Cricetulus griseus: one gene and its partners. The protein of the gene in region 1 interacts with the protein of each later gene in a pairwise test. Links are inferred from orthologs where the notes say so. Each region holds a gene or a part of one and is shown in the gene's direction. Other genes may lie near its edges.

The links.
Region 2: the proteins of Stx4 (region 1) and Stx6 interact in binary tests that used the Homo sapiens proteins (3 or more experiments, as listed by UniProt). The two-hybrid records come from large-scale screens. The link is inferred for Cricetulus griseus from reciprocal best matches to the Homo sapiens genes STX4 and STX6.
Region 3: the proteins of Stx4 (region 1) and Sec22a interact in binary tests that used the Homo sapiens proteins (3 or more experiments, as listed by UniProt). The two-hybrid records come from large-scale screens. The link is inferred for Cricetulus griseus from reciprocal best matches to the Homo sapiens genes STX4 and SEC22A.

What each region holds. Positions count from the first base shown.
Region 1 is NC_048596.1:72,932,247-72,937,008, reverse strand, and holds the start of Stx4 (syntaxin-4), read left to right. Parts: upstream 1-1,538; 5' UTR 1,539-1,669; coding exon 1,670-1,699; intron 1,700-1,860; coding exon 1,861-1,962; intron 1,963-2,018; exon of another isoform or gene 2,019-2,040; coding exon 2,041-2,140; intron 2,141-2,281; coding exon 2,282-2,356; intron 2,357-3,217; coding exon 3,218-3,288; intron 3,289-4,762. UniProt on the Homo sapiens protein: Plasma membrane t-SNARE that mediates docking of transport vesicles. Necessary for the translocation of SLC2A4 from intracellular vesicles to the plasma membrane.
Region 2 is NC_048598.1:36,588,758-36,593,477, reverse strand, and holds the start of Stx6 (syntaxin-6), read left to right. Parts: upstream 1-1,826; 5' UTR 1,827-1,948; coding exon 1,949-1,983; intron 1,984-4,720. UniProt on the Homo sapiens protein: SNARE promoting movement of transport vesicles to target membranes. Targets endosomes to the trans-Golgi network, and may therefore function in retrograde trafficking.
Region 3 is NC_048597.1:54,280,238-54,285,048, forward strand, and holds the start of Sec22a (vesicle-trafficking protein SEC22a), read left to right. Parts: upstream 1-1,613; 5' UTR 1,614-1,728; intron 1,729-1,951; exon of another isoform or gene 1,952-2,086; intron 2,087-4,804; exon of another isoform or gene 4,805-4,811. UniProt on the Homo sapiens protein: May be involved in vesicle transport between the ER and the Golgi complex.

The sequences.
Region 1 (4,762 bases):
GAGGGAGGGGATGAGTAGGAGGGAAGTAGCAATTGAACAGGGAGGCAGCAGTTAATAGGCAAAGATACCCTTGCAGAATTCATGTTTTGGTTTGTTTTGGGGGGTTCCCCAGGGGCATGGACAAACTGAAGACTTCCATTTGGGGGCTGACAGCATCATGACACCTTGAAAGTCAGGCCCCACAGTAGGCACTTTTCTCCACATTATTTTCAGGGGACCACACTAGGCAGAGCTGGGCCTCCTGAGAAGCCCACCAACACCGCATCCCTCTGCGGGGTGGTCAGGGCCATATTATCCTCACCCCCTCATTTCCAAATCCAGGAGTTTCTAAAGGGAAAAGCATCACAGCCCCACAAGTGCATGGGGTTTTAGTCTGTTGGCTTCTGATGTGTCACCAGCCCCTAAAACATATCTGCTCTATAGTATGTGCCCAATAAATATGTCCAGAGAGACAAACCTGGGGAAATGGGACGGTGAGAGAAGCCACAGGCTTTAGTTTCAGATACATGAAAGGCTCCTATTCGGATCAAGGCTGTGAGGGCCTATTATGTAGCAAGCTCTGAATTTGGTGCTGGGGACTCCGTAAAAGAAAAGCAAGTCATGCTAGGACTTCAGGGCTGCGGAGGTAACAATACATTCCTCTCAGTCTGAGCTGCTCTGAAATCTGAAGGTGGCGAGCTCAGCGGGACTGCAGTGCTCACACAGGGCGTAGGCCGCCCACCTGTCAGAGGCTGTGCCAGGAGGACGCAGGGTGTGTAGGGGGAAGAGTTCCACCTTGGCTGAGGTCACTTCCCACCCCCAGATTGTCTGCCTACAAAACCCTGCAATCCTCTGACGCTGTAGCCTCCGATCTCATTATGTTCTGACTCTCAAGGTCTCGTGATACTGACAGCCCCCAAATTTAAGTCTTCAGATCGCCCACGCCCTAGGGCCCCAAATTAAAACAGAAAGTGAAGTCTACAAGGGTCTCCTCTGTAGGTGGCTGAGAGCTGTCGGTGTACCCCTCCCCACCTTCTGCAAGGGGTACAGCTCAGACTCAGGGGTATCGGGGACGTCGCGAGACTGAAGTCCGAGACGTCGCTGACAGCGCCGGGACACGTGACCGGCTGTCGGGCGTGCAGCCGGCGGAGCGGGGCCAGGTCTGTCACGTGATGAGGGGGCGCCATGGGGTGATGTGAGATACGAGGCTCTCAGACTGCGTGCAAATGACGCATCCCCAACCCTTTGGGCAACTAGATTCCAGTCCCAATATGAGATGTTCCGGTAGAAAGGGGGGGGGGGCGGACGGGCTCTCGATCCAGGCGGCCTCGCTTCCGTTCGGCCGCGACTGCTTCCGACCTCCGCCTTTTCCCCCTAGCGAGGAAGAGACAAGACCTCGTGCGCATGCTCCGAGTCATCCTCCCGAGGGGCGGGGCTGCGGCTGCGGGAGCAGGATGGGGGGAAGAGAAGGGAATTCCAACCTGTAGAACTTTGGGGGTCCTATGGTCGGGTTCTCCCCGGCGACTGTGCATGGTGAAAGGGGCGGGACCTCTGGGGGCTCGTGGGGGCGTTGGGGGTTCGCAGGGTGAGGAAGGGGGTGTCAAGTGAGAGAGAGCTCGTGCAGGACTTCCAAACTTAGAACCTTGAGGCCCTCGGGGCTCAGGTCCAGGGACCGGGCGCTCGGGCCGCCATGCGCGACAGGACCCATGAGCTGAGGCAGGTGAGGAGCTGGGGCCCGGCGGGCGCGCAGGACTGAGGACTCCTGGTTTGGGGTCCGGGAGGGGTGGCTGACGGCCAGGAAGGAAAATCCCGGAAGCCCATAGCTCCTGCGGGGCGAGAACCGCGGCGAGCGAGTGGTGCCAATGACTCCGGCCCTGGCAGGGGGACAACAGCTCGGACGACGAAGATGAGGCTCGAGTCGCGCTGGTGGTGCACCCAGGTACCGCCCGGCTGGGCAGCCCAGATGACGAGTTCTTCCAGAAGGTAAGGCCCGGAGGACCGAGCAGTAGGGAGGACTACAGTACCACTTATGTCTTCAGTTCCCTTGGTGATCCTCTCTAGGTCCAGGCAATTCGGCAAACTATGGCCAAACTGGAGAGTAAAGTCCGGGAGTTGGAGAAACAGCAGGTCACCATTCTGGCCACGCCCCTTCCCGAGGAGAGTAAGCGAAACCCGGGTTCACGTACGCCAGCCCGGTGGATTATGGGGGATGTAGTCCTATATAGATGTTGGCCGGGGGTGGGGTTGGTTTTGGTTTGTGGTGGAGGCTGTGGTTTGGAAGTGTTGGCCTTCTCTCATTTAGGCATGAAGCAGGGCCTGCAGAACCTGCGCGAGGAGATCAAACAGCTGGGGAGAGAGGTCCGGGCACAGCTAAAAGGTGAATGAACTTCAAGGGCCTCAGCCAGATCATCCCCAGTGATTCAGCCCTGATGCTCGTGTATCTGGGGAGTCAAGTGATATATCAGGTCACAGAGCAGGTCTGGGTCTAGGATCTCTGCCCTGTGGCATCTAAGCCTTGGTACTTTGCATATATTACATGCTGGCCTCTCAGATTCCTTTATTACTATTTTTACATCTAAATTCAAAACTACTTGCTGCTACAGTTCTTGAAGCCCAGTGTGTGTTCTTTGAGCAGATGGATGAGGGTTTCTTAGGAGGCTCCTTCACTCTTGTGGGAACCCACTGATGTAATACAAAGAAAAACTTCTCTTAGAAGATCAGAATTAGCCTCCTCCTCCCCCTCCCTCACCTCTTCCTCCTATGTAGACCAGGCTGGCCTCAAATTCACAGAGATCCATCTTTCCCTGCCTTTTGAATGCTGAGATTAAAGGCCTGCCGTAACCAGGTCCAGTTGGCTGATCTCACCCCCTTCTTCCTTCTTTCTTCTTCCTCCTAGTTCCTTCTTTTTTCCTCCTCCTCCCCCTTCCTCCTCCATCATGTGTCACTACTAAAATATATCCCTGCTCATAAGTCACTTTGTAAAAAAAAATCCTACGAAGACAAGAACTTCCTTATTATGTGGCTGGAATGTAGATGTGGCCCTGTATTCTGGTACCCAAACAATTTTTTTTGATTCATTTAAAATTTTTTATTATGTATTTTCAATTTTTTAATTATTTTTTGAGACTCAGTAGGTAGATCAGGCTAGCCCAGACAGAAATCAGTTAGCCTCCCAGCCAATTTTTAGAAGTCTCAGGGCAAGCTTTTCTTTCCATCAACCCTCGTATTTCTCCCACAGCCATAGAGCCTCAGAAGGAAGAAGCTGATGAGAATTATAACTCAGTCAACACAAGAATGAAAAAAACCCAGGTTGGTTTCATTTTCCTAGAACTAGGACATTTCATCAAGTGTTTCTTAGATTACTAACTGGTGACTGGGCAACCCTTACAGACCGTTGAATCTGGGATCTCTGTCCTGATGAATTTCCTTTATGCTTATTTGGTCTAGGTAGAGGATCCCAGTCACAAAATTCTCAATCCATTATAACACCATGCCACCGCCATTCAAAGAGAATTTGCTATGTCAGACATGACTCTGTCCTGGCTATGAGAGACATATTTTCCCAAAACTGAAATGGGGAATTTGGACTGAAAAGGGAACAAAGATATTTCTCATGTAGGACTTGGTCACTAATAGCTTTGTTCAGGGAAGAAGAGAGAGAAATAAAAAATGGTAATTAAGAGCACTGGTTGCTCTTCCAGAGGCCCCAGATTTAATTTCCAGCACCCACATGGCAGCTCACAACCATCTGTAACTCCAGTTCCAGGGGATCTAACACTCTCACATAGACATACATGTAGGTAAAACACCAATGCACATAAATCAAAGAATAATAATAAGAGCCAAGTGTGAAGGCAGAGGCAGGCGGATCTCTGAGTTCGAGGCCAGCCTGATCTACAGAGAAACCCTGTCTTGAATAACCAAAAATAAATAAATAAATGATAAATAAATGTAAGTTAAAATGACAAGCAAGGACATCCTTGGCCCCATAGATAGAATTTAAGAGATGGCGAGGGGCTGCAAGACGGATCAGTGGGTAAAGGTGTCTGCTTCTAAGCTTTATAACCCAATTCAGCCCCAGGTCCATGGGGTGCAGAGAACTGACTCCTGGGAGTTGTCCTCTGATTTCTACACATGTGCCATGGCACACATGCCCTGCCCCGTGCATACACAGTAAAGACATATATTAACGTATGATGTAGGGACTGGAGAGATGGCTTAGCACACACCACTTTTGCAGAGGAACTGAATTCAGCTGTTCCCAGCTGTGACCTATGTCAGGTGGCTCACAACCATCTGTAACTCCAGCTCTAGGAAGAGGCCCTCCACCTCCTTGGATACCACAGATGAAGGCACATAATAAAATATATTTTTAAGAACATTTGTAGCCGGGCGTTGGTGGCGCACGCCTTTAATCCCAGCACTCGGGAGGCATAGGCAGGCGGATCTCTGTGAGTTCCAGGCCAGCCTGGTCTCCAGAGTGAGTGCCAGGATAGGCTCCAAAGCTACACAGAGAAACCCTGTCTTGAAAAACAAAAACAAACAAACAAACAAAAAGAACATTTGTAAAAGGAAGAAGAGGAATTCTGGTGGAGAAGAAGTCATGCCAGGCAGTGTCTGAGTGAGGAGATTTCACGTGACTTGACTGGGCCCCTCTGGTGCATGGTGAAGAGTGCTTGGGATTTATGGAGGTCAGGTTTGGAGTAGGTAGGCATCTTGAAAGGGCGCAGGAGTGGGGATTCAGGAGAATAAGCTTATTTAAGGAATCAGGAGAGGGATGGGG
Region 2 (4,720 bases), on another chromosome or scaffold:
GCCCTCTCTCATTATCTGTAACTGAATGCTCCTCCCCACAAGCCTGAGAGCTCCTGGAAGGCTAGGGTATTCATCTCTGAACCCTCCTTGAACAGAGAAAAAGCTCAGGTGTGCTAGGCTTTGTCCCAAAGCCTTTCACAGATCCACTCAGGCCTTGAGATAATGTAGGAGAAAGACGTTATTATGGTGTCCATTCACAGTAAGGACAGTGAACAGTTAGGAACTTTGCTCAAACACAGCTGCTGAGAGTAGCAGAGCTGAGGTTTTAAACTCAAGGATCAGGCTCCAAGTATCACTTGCAATCCCTGGGCTCATCTGCCCTTCCACTTACCTGTCATTGTCACATGAGCATTTTAATCTACCTATCTCAGTATGCAGGTATCCAAAGCCAGCAACTCTCCCAGAAGCCCCTCTTCTCTACATCTGCTGTCCAGTGCTCCTTCAGTTCAGTGAAGCTTGGAGTCTTAGACATTCTCTTCTCTCTTCTCTCCTCATCCCTTCTCCCATTATGGCACTATGTTTTGTATTCCATGGGCAACATCTATCTGAGTCACTCCTTTCCCTTCATTCTCTCTTGCTGTCATCTGGTCCACAGCCTCCTCCAGGTGTCTCTGGCTGTACCTCCTCTTTTTTGGGGACCTCAGAGTTTACATACCTACACAAGAGCTAGATATTGTTTACATCCTCCCTTCCCTCCAGCCAGGGTTTCTTTGTGTAGCCTTGGCTGTCCTAGAACTAGCTCTGAGTACGAGGCTGGCCTCGAACTCATAGAGATCCGAGTGGTGGGATTAAAGGTATGTTCTACTACTGCCTGGTTTGTTTACATCTTAAAGATGAGGAGTTGATTGAGGGACTACAGGTTCAAAAGAGATTTGTTTGATGCAAGCGCCAAAGAGACTAGAGACTTTGGGCAAATCACTTAACCTCACAGAATCTCAGAAAGCTCATTCATAAAATACAGATACTAAGTAGCAGTAATTACCTTACTGAAGATAGTGAAGTAACTTAGAACCCTGCCCAACGCACGTAAGTGATTGGTGGTTATCAGCAATGAAAGGTCACACTACTTAACCATGAAAGATCTGTACAGTGCGTCGAATATTCCAGTTTACTAACTGTGCCAGATAAAATGTTTTCTGGATGTTTTGGAATCATAGTCGAGAGGAAGTTACCCTGCCTGGTTACTTTGACCTTCAACTCTCTGCTGCGAAGTTCATTTTCAGAATGTAATTCAAAAGAAAATACTGTCCATTTTGGGGAAAGTGTCCAGGATCTGGGGTTCTGTGATGTCTGGGTCGTGAGACCCTCCCTGTACAACAGAGACTGAAGCCTCTCACAAAAAACAGTAGGATCGTCCCCCAAAGAGTATGGAGTATTGAGCCTGTAGACACTACATGACTTAAGACTTTATCATAATCAGGTTATTTGAGAATCCTATGGTGCAAGTCGTGGATGTGATGGGCACGGAAGTCATATGGCGTTAAAAGCAAGTCTTAAAAGTTGAGGAAAGGTAAGAGGTCTAAGCAGACAGATTCAGCAACTACTAAAATCCCCTGTAGGCTTCTCCCAGCGGAGGCAGAAGACCTCTCCTACCTCCCAGAGCCCGCCTCTCGGGCCCAGGGACGCTAGCCCAAGCCCCGCCCCTCTTAGGCCAGGAGCCTGAGCGATCTGGGTCACGTGAGCGTGAGTGCGGAAGTGGAGCTGCGATACGCATTCTTGATTGGTCGCAGAGAATGTCTTGGGGGCGGGGCCAGGCGCCGGAGGTGCCGGGGGAGGAGGCTGCTGTGGGGGCCGGCTTGGAGTGGGATTCGGCCCACGGCGCTGACCGAGTGCTGGACCGGCGGCCGTCGGGCACCCAGGTCTGCGCGCACCGCTGCTCCGGGTCACTCGGCCGAGGCGCTGGCCGCGGGAGACCTCAGGGAGGGCTCGGGCTGCCGGGCCGGGCGCCATGTCCATGGAGGACCCCTTCTTTGTGGTGAAAGGGTGAGTGTGGGCCGAGGACGCTCGCCGCAGGGGGAAGGGAGGGAAATCGAGGCAGGGCGGCACAGCCTCTGCGCCCCGACACCGCGCGTCCTCCGGGGCTGGGCCCCCGGGGGTCCTCCTTTCGGCCCGCACGGCCACTTCCTCGGGGTCGCGCGCCGCAGGTGGGGAGCGGGGAGCGACGCGCTGGAGAGGGCGGACAGCATCTGGGCAGGAAAAGGGAAATGGCCCTCCTGGAGTGGGCGTGCGCGGGGGCGAGCTCCATTGTGGAGTCGGGAGCTCGCCCGGGACAGCCACCCCGCGGCTTGCCCGGAGGCGTCCAGCCGGTGCGGGAGCCGGGTGCGGGAGGACGCGCGGTTTCCCGGGGGAGGAAAAGTCCTCCAGGCCGGGTACTGATGTTGGTAGGAAAACAAGATGCAAACAGCCAAACCAAACTTCCCGAGGTTTTCTGAGAGCCATCGGGATTTTCCCACCGTGTGGAAGGAAATGATTGTTTCTTTTGAACTCCTTGGTTTCGTCCTGGGTGTTTGACAGGTTTCTCTCACTAAACGTTCTGCCTTTTAGAAGTCATCGGCCCTCTTTTTGCCAGGGAGCTGTCCTGACTCCATCTTTGATGCTCTGTTGGGAGATGGAAACATCAGGGGCACTTCGATGTATCAACTTTGTAGCCATTACACAAAACGCAATTACGATGTCGCAACTTATTTCTAATAACATGTCAGCTTTATGCTTTGAATGTCAGAGAAATGTCAAAAATCTGAGAACTGCAAAGTCAAGACAGGATAAGTTCTACTGACTGTGAAGCATTCCTTGTTTCTCACTAGTTGCTACTTTCATCTTATTTGTGGAGTGGTAAAAGCTGACCAGTTGTGTGGGTGTTTGTTTTTATACTTAAGGGTACTGGGAATATTTAAATGGTATTTTAGAGGAGGTACTTTATTATCTATGGTGTATTCAATCAAATAATTACGACTGTTTCTTAACATTTCAGTTAAAGGGTTTTTCTTTCACTGGCTTTAATTTAGATGGGAGAATAGGAAGGTATAGATTTAACAGTAAAATTTACCTATACAGAAAATAAGTTATTTATTAGGGAATTGATTTAGGATTTTGTTTTTAAATTTAGAGTTGTATACTTTTCCCTTGAATGGAAGGCTTTTTTGTTTTGTTTTTAATTTACACACACTCTCTCTCTCTCTCTCTCTCTCTCTCTCTCTCTCTCTCTCTCTCTGTGTGTGTGTGTGTGTGTGTGTGTGTGTGTGTGTGTGTGTGAATGTGAATGCTGTGGCACACATGTGGAAGCCACAGGGCAAGCTTGCAGGAATCCCTTCTCACCTCCCACTATGTGGGTCTCAGGGACCAAAGTCAAGTCTTCAGGCTTGGTGGCAGGCACCTTAGCCCGCTGAGACATCTCATCAGCCCCAGAACTGAAGTTTTTAACACTCAAGTTGTAAAAGTTATCTCTGGCAGTTAGTTGATGTCAGAGAAAAACCAGAAAATGTTTATTTGTTTGCCTTTGAGTGTGATTTTTGACAACTCTTCATTGTTCAGTCATGTAGATATCCCCCCTCCCCCATAGTCTCCCAGCACTCCCTTATTGACTAGATAGTACTACTTTATTAGAACACTGCCATAGGTCTTTAAGGTGCCTGAAGTAAGAGTAGTTGTCTGTACTTTATCCAAGAGGAAAGTGAAGTCAGCCACATAGGTGTTTCCAGATGTGTGATAGCATGTTCATGCATGTTTATTTGTTAACAGTTTTGAGGGCCAGTGAGATATCTTGGTAATAGGGGCACATGCAGCCAAGCCTGATGACCTGAGTTTGATCCCCACAAATCCTGCTTGTTGTCCTCTGACCTCCACATGCAGGAATTTACACACACACAATGGAAAAGTTTAAAAAATAAGATTATTGAAAATATCACAAATAGAAAAAGTAAAGATGTCTCAACTATGACTTTTTTTTCCCATTGGGCTTTTGGATTTACCAGACAGGGTTTCTCTGTGTAACAGTTCTAGATGTCCTGGAACTTGTTTTGTAAACCAGGCTGGCCTCAGACTCACAGCGATCCTCCTGCTTCTGCCCCCTGAGTGCTGGGACTAAAGGTGAATGCTACCACCACCTGACCAATGTCTTTGTTAATAGATTCAAAATATTACTACTGCCAGAGGTGTTTTTTTTTTTTTTTCTTTCCTTTTTTTTTTTTTTTTTTTTGGAGATAGGGTCTTGTTATGTAGAACTTGCTTGCCTCTTACTTGCAGTGTAGCCCAGGCTAGCCTTAAACTCAGCAGTTACTGCTTAGGCTTCTAAGTGCTGAGATTGTAGGCATGAACTTAGCTTCAACATGCAGTTAAAGATTGTTTGTATTAAGTCTTCAAAATTTGTTATTTTAAACTTCTGTCTCATTTCAATTTGGCTGTTAAAATTTGAACATATGTCCTATATTTAGAATTCTTTAAACTTACAGTTCAAAAGATATATTCAGAGTCTGGGGTGATAGGGAACACTTGTAATCCCAACACTTGTGTCTCTGGAAAGCCAGAGACACAAAAGCTAACCTCATAATGAGTTTAAGATTAGCCTGGGCTATATGAGATACTGTCTGGAAGAAAAAAGAAAAGAAGGAAGAAATTCACATATCCTAATTGCTCCAAACATACATACCACTTTTTTGGCAAGAAGATTTTGTGCCAGTTTTTAAGATAATTAAATGCAAGTTTCTCAATGACACTACTTTTT
Region 3 (4,811 bases), on another chromosome or scaffold:
GGTGTAGCACTGCCCTCAGTGGGCTGGGCCCTCCTATAGCAATCACCAATCACAGTACCATCCCACAGACTTGCCCCCAGGCTTTTTTTTTTTTTTTCAGAGGCATTTTCTAAATTAAGATTCCCTCTCCCATCAATGTTAAGCTTTGTATCAAGCTGACAGACAAACCAGCCCACCTTCCTAGGACAATCCAAATTTTCACAAATCATGTTCCTGGACCCAGAACATTCTTTTTTTTTATATTATTTTTCTTTTTTCCTTTTTTTATTAGAAAAAAATTATTTTACATGTCAATCCCAGTTCCCTCTCTCTCCCCTCCTCCCCTCCCCCCCCCACTAATGCCCTACCTATCCCATAGCCTTTCTGCTCACCAGGGAGGGTGAGGCCTTCCATAGGGGTCTTCAAAGTCTGTCATATTCTTTGGGATAGGGCCTAGGCCAACCCCCTTGTGTCTAGGATCAGGGAGTATCCCCCCATGTGGGATGGGCTCCTAAAGTTCATTCCTATGGTAGCCATAAGTACTGATCCACTACAAGAGGTCCCAAGGTCTCCTCACTGACACCCACGTTCAGGGGGTCTGGATCAGTCCCATGCTGGTTTCCCAGCTATCAGTCTGGGGACCAAGAGTTTTCCCTTGTTCAGGCCAGTTGTTTCTGTGGGTTTCACCAGCCTGGTATGGACCCCTTTGCTCATCAGTCCTTCTTCTCTGCTTCTGGATCAGTTCAGTCCAAGGTTTAGCTGTGGGAAGAACAGAAGAGAACAAGATAAGAGATAATATAATAGAAGGAGATATTATAAATTCAAAGAGAAATCAGGCACTAGGGAAATGTCTGGAGGGCTACAAAGATGACACCAGCTAACAATCTAAGCAACAGAGGGGAGGCTACCTTAAATGCCCTCTCCTGATAATGAGATTGATGACTAATTCATATGCCAGCATATAGCCTTCATCCAGCAGTTGGTGGAAATAGAAGCAGACCCAGAACATTCTTAAAGATCCCTTAATATGTCTTGACTTTAAAGGCACTTATTCAGGGAGTTCTTTCCTGACACTCAATTAATTCATCAGTACACCTATTAAGTTTTCTTCTCTGTACCAATCACATAGTATATTTCTGTACCAGTTTTTCTAGTGCCTCTTGCTCCGATTACACCTTAAAAGGAGTGCTGTGAACATTCCTGTATAACATGCTTAACATGCTGCTTGACACTTGATAGGCATTCAGTATACGTTTGTTTAATAATACATGACCTCTAGAAGGCTGGGCGGGAGTAGGGGTGGGGCTACTGGGGCCAGCATGTGTCATTTGTCTGTCTTGGAAAGTTTGTGTAGTGGCTGACGGGGAAAGGTCCTTATCCTGTTCATCAGAGAGAGCTTTTCCTCTGTCCCAAGTGGCGCATGAGAGAAACTGCTTCCAGACACGAAGCAGCAGGTGAAGGAGACTAGCCTTATTTCCCAGGGACAGCCTAATTTTGTCCTCAGGAGACTAGGCATTCTCCTGGTGCAGGTGCATAAGAACCTGCCAATCTCCGCTGGAGGGGGCGGAGATAGGGCGGGCCTCGGAAGGGGGCGTGCCATTGGGTGCTTCCCACGGAACCTGATTGGCCCGAGTGAACTCCGCCCTCACCAGCCACGTTGGACACGGGCAACCCCGCTGGGAGGCCCCTCCCGGCCCCACAATGCACTGCGTGGCGCGTCACTCGGAGCGGCGAGTCCCAGCGCGACAGGTACGGCCCGGCCCCTCTTTTCAGCCTCCTCGGGGTCTCCGGGATCCCTGGCCGGCCGCTCGCGCCGCTCTCGGCGTTCCACCCTGGCCTGACCGGTACTTCCCGAGCCGGAGCTGAGCGGCGGTGGCGGCGGAGTTAGAGGGCTGGTGTGCGGGTCCCGGGTCCCTGAGACCCGGGGCTGTCAGCCGCGCGGGCGGCGGTTGCTGTCTGGCAGGCCTGTCCCGGGATGGGCGGACGCAGTCGGGGCGGCTGACGGGGAGTGCTGGCGCCCCGGGCTGCCAGCGAGCGGACTCACTGCCATAGATGTCAGAAGCACACGGATTCACCCGGGCTTGTAGGTGGCCCGAGAGAGCTTGAGGTGGCTGGCATTCCTAGTTCTTTTTTGGGGCGGGGCAGCTTGTACCAGTGGCGTACCCTGCGATTTGTGGAGTCCGAATGGGCGCTGAGGTTGGAGATCGCCCACGTTGGCTCAGGGAAACCCCTCGAGGCCCTGTCTGATGGTACTTTGCGACACTGTGTGGCAGAAAAAAAAAGACCTGAGTTATTGGCTCCACAAGTGGGGGATCTCCGGAGGGGGCCAAGCTGTAGCTTGCGCGAATCTCTCTCAGTAAAAGCAGCTTAGGACTTGATTGCCTGCTGCTTAGCTTCCGGGATCAGCATCACCTGGAGCAGGTAGAACTCTTCAGAACCAGCCCCTGCTGTGCTTAATTTTGAGCAGAGTCCAGTGTCGGTGGGCCGTGCTACACGTGATAGAATTCCAGCGGATGAACAGAGCAAACATTTTAAAAAATGGAATCAATTTCGGGTTACTGGTACCCACTGGTGTGCCAGCGCTGTGAGCAGTTAGGCGGTATCTTAAACATTACTTAGAACTTACCGTGTGTAGAGGAAGATTCAGAACTGAACCTGACACCCGTGACCATGTCCAAAGTGATTGAGACGTCAGGCTTTTCCCACTTAAGACGATCATGCCAGTTTAGTAACTTTATTTTTAGAGACTGCTTAAAGTTTAAGTATGTTTTAGGTTGATGTATGAAAAAAAAAAAACAAACTCGTGTCAGAGAGATACTTGTGACCTTTCTTTCCGTGTCGATAAGAAGTTAGGGTGTGTTTAGAGGTAATGTTTCATGAAGTTGTTAGAATCAGACCTCCTACTTACTCATCCGTGAGTTGAACAAATGCCTTAAGCTTTTGGGACTTGTGTTTCCTCCAAAGCAAAATGAAACTAATACCTAACCTCAGAGGTTCCTGGAAGGCTCAAATGAGGCGAATGAAGTGCTTGGTCTGTACCTGTCAGTAGTAAGGACAGCAGAACACTTAAAATAGAACTTCGGAGGTTGTGCCAGGTGCTTTTCATAAGCGTAAGACGTAGAGGCTGGTAGTGATCTTAAAAAGAGCCTCATGGAGATAGGGTTTACTCATAGCCATAGTTCCGAGGTGAAGATATTGAGGTTTGGAAAGCAAAGCTTGTCAAGGTAATGTGACAGGTATGTGGTAGAGCCTGGCTTTAAATCTGGGAATATGACTTCTTTGTATTTAATTTATTTATTTTGCACATCCTGTGTGTGCATGTGTATGCCTGTATGTATATTCAAATGTGTGTTGGCACAATGTTGTGTGCAGGTGTATATGAAGGTTGGGTGTTGATGTCCAGTGTCTTCTCTGATTGCCCTCTACTTAATTGAGGCAGGATGTTTTTTGTTTGTTTGTTTTGTTGTTGTTGTTGTTGTTGTTTTAACCTGGAGCTTGCCAATTTCAGTCAGTCCAGCTAGCTGACCTGCCTGGAAGATCCCACCTCTTTTGGATAACCTAGCTTGCCTAGTCTTCACTTAGTTCTAAGGATCTGGACACTAGTCCTCATGATTGCATAGTAATCATGTTTTGCCACTGAGGAATCTCCCCAGCCTGAACTTGACTTTTTAATCACCATACTGTGTTGCCTTTCAAAGAAAATGTCCCTATTTATTGTTATTTTAAAATGATCAGCTGATCCAGGTCTTATGATGCAAGCCTGTAATCCTAGCACTTGGGAGGTGGAGACAGGAGGATCAGGAGTTCAAGGCAAGCCTTTGGCTACATAGTGAGTTCAAACCAGGCTGGGGCTTTGTGAAGCTTTGTCTAAATTGAAAAACATTTAAAACATAGGACTTTTTTTTTCTTTCTTTCTTTTTTTTTTTTTTTTTTTTTTTTTTTTTTTTTTTTTTTTTGCTGCTTGCTGCTTTCCTGGTTACAGCACAGCGATGGAGATTTGTGAGGCACTTAGGCTTAAGTATCAGTCCTGCCGTATATTAGAGGTGAAGTTGAGCAAATGTCAGTTTTCTTATCTATGAAATGGAAGTTATACTTACCTCTCTGAACTGTATGGCACTGACATCTGCACATATGTTAGGACCCCTGTCTCTAATAGTGTGTATATTCTGTTGTGGAGCTTGAGGTTTTACACATAGTGTTTAGTGCAGGTGCCCACAATAGAAGCAAGCAGTAAGGACAGCTAATGAGGAAGACAGTACTGGCAAAACATCACAATAAATTCTGATAGTCCTTGGTACTCCTTTCTTTTCATTCAATCTTCCAGTCTGAGCATTGCAATTAATATGGTCAACTAAGTTCAATCAGTCTGACTCCACCCTTTGCACTCACTTATAATTCTCACAGAGTTCAGGATTATTAAGTTAACTAAATATGTAGCAAGTTAGTTTTTCCAAATTTTGGTGCTATCATTAATGTAAAATGATTTGGTGAGCTGAGGATCATTTTAAAAAAGCAAGCCACCAAAATATTTAATATGCATGTAAACAAAACAAAATTTTACTTATTTTAACTTAGATTTAGGGAAAAAAAACCCTAATGTCTCAAACTGATTTTGTAGACATTGTTGTTAAAAATATAGGATAGCCAGTTGAGAGACTGGTATTTGGTAAATAAGAAATAGTACAGGAGAGATCCAGATAAGCATCCTGAAAGTGGTACTTGAGTGCTAAAGCTTGGAATGTGATTAACTCAAATAAAAGATGAGTGACCCCAGCATAAAACATCTGTAGAAAACTTTTCTATTTAAATTTCACTACCTTTTTAGAAATATC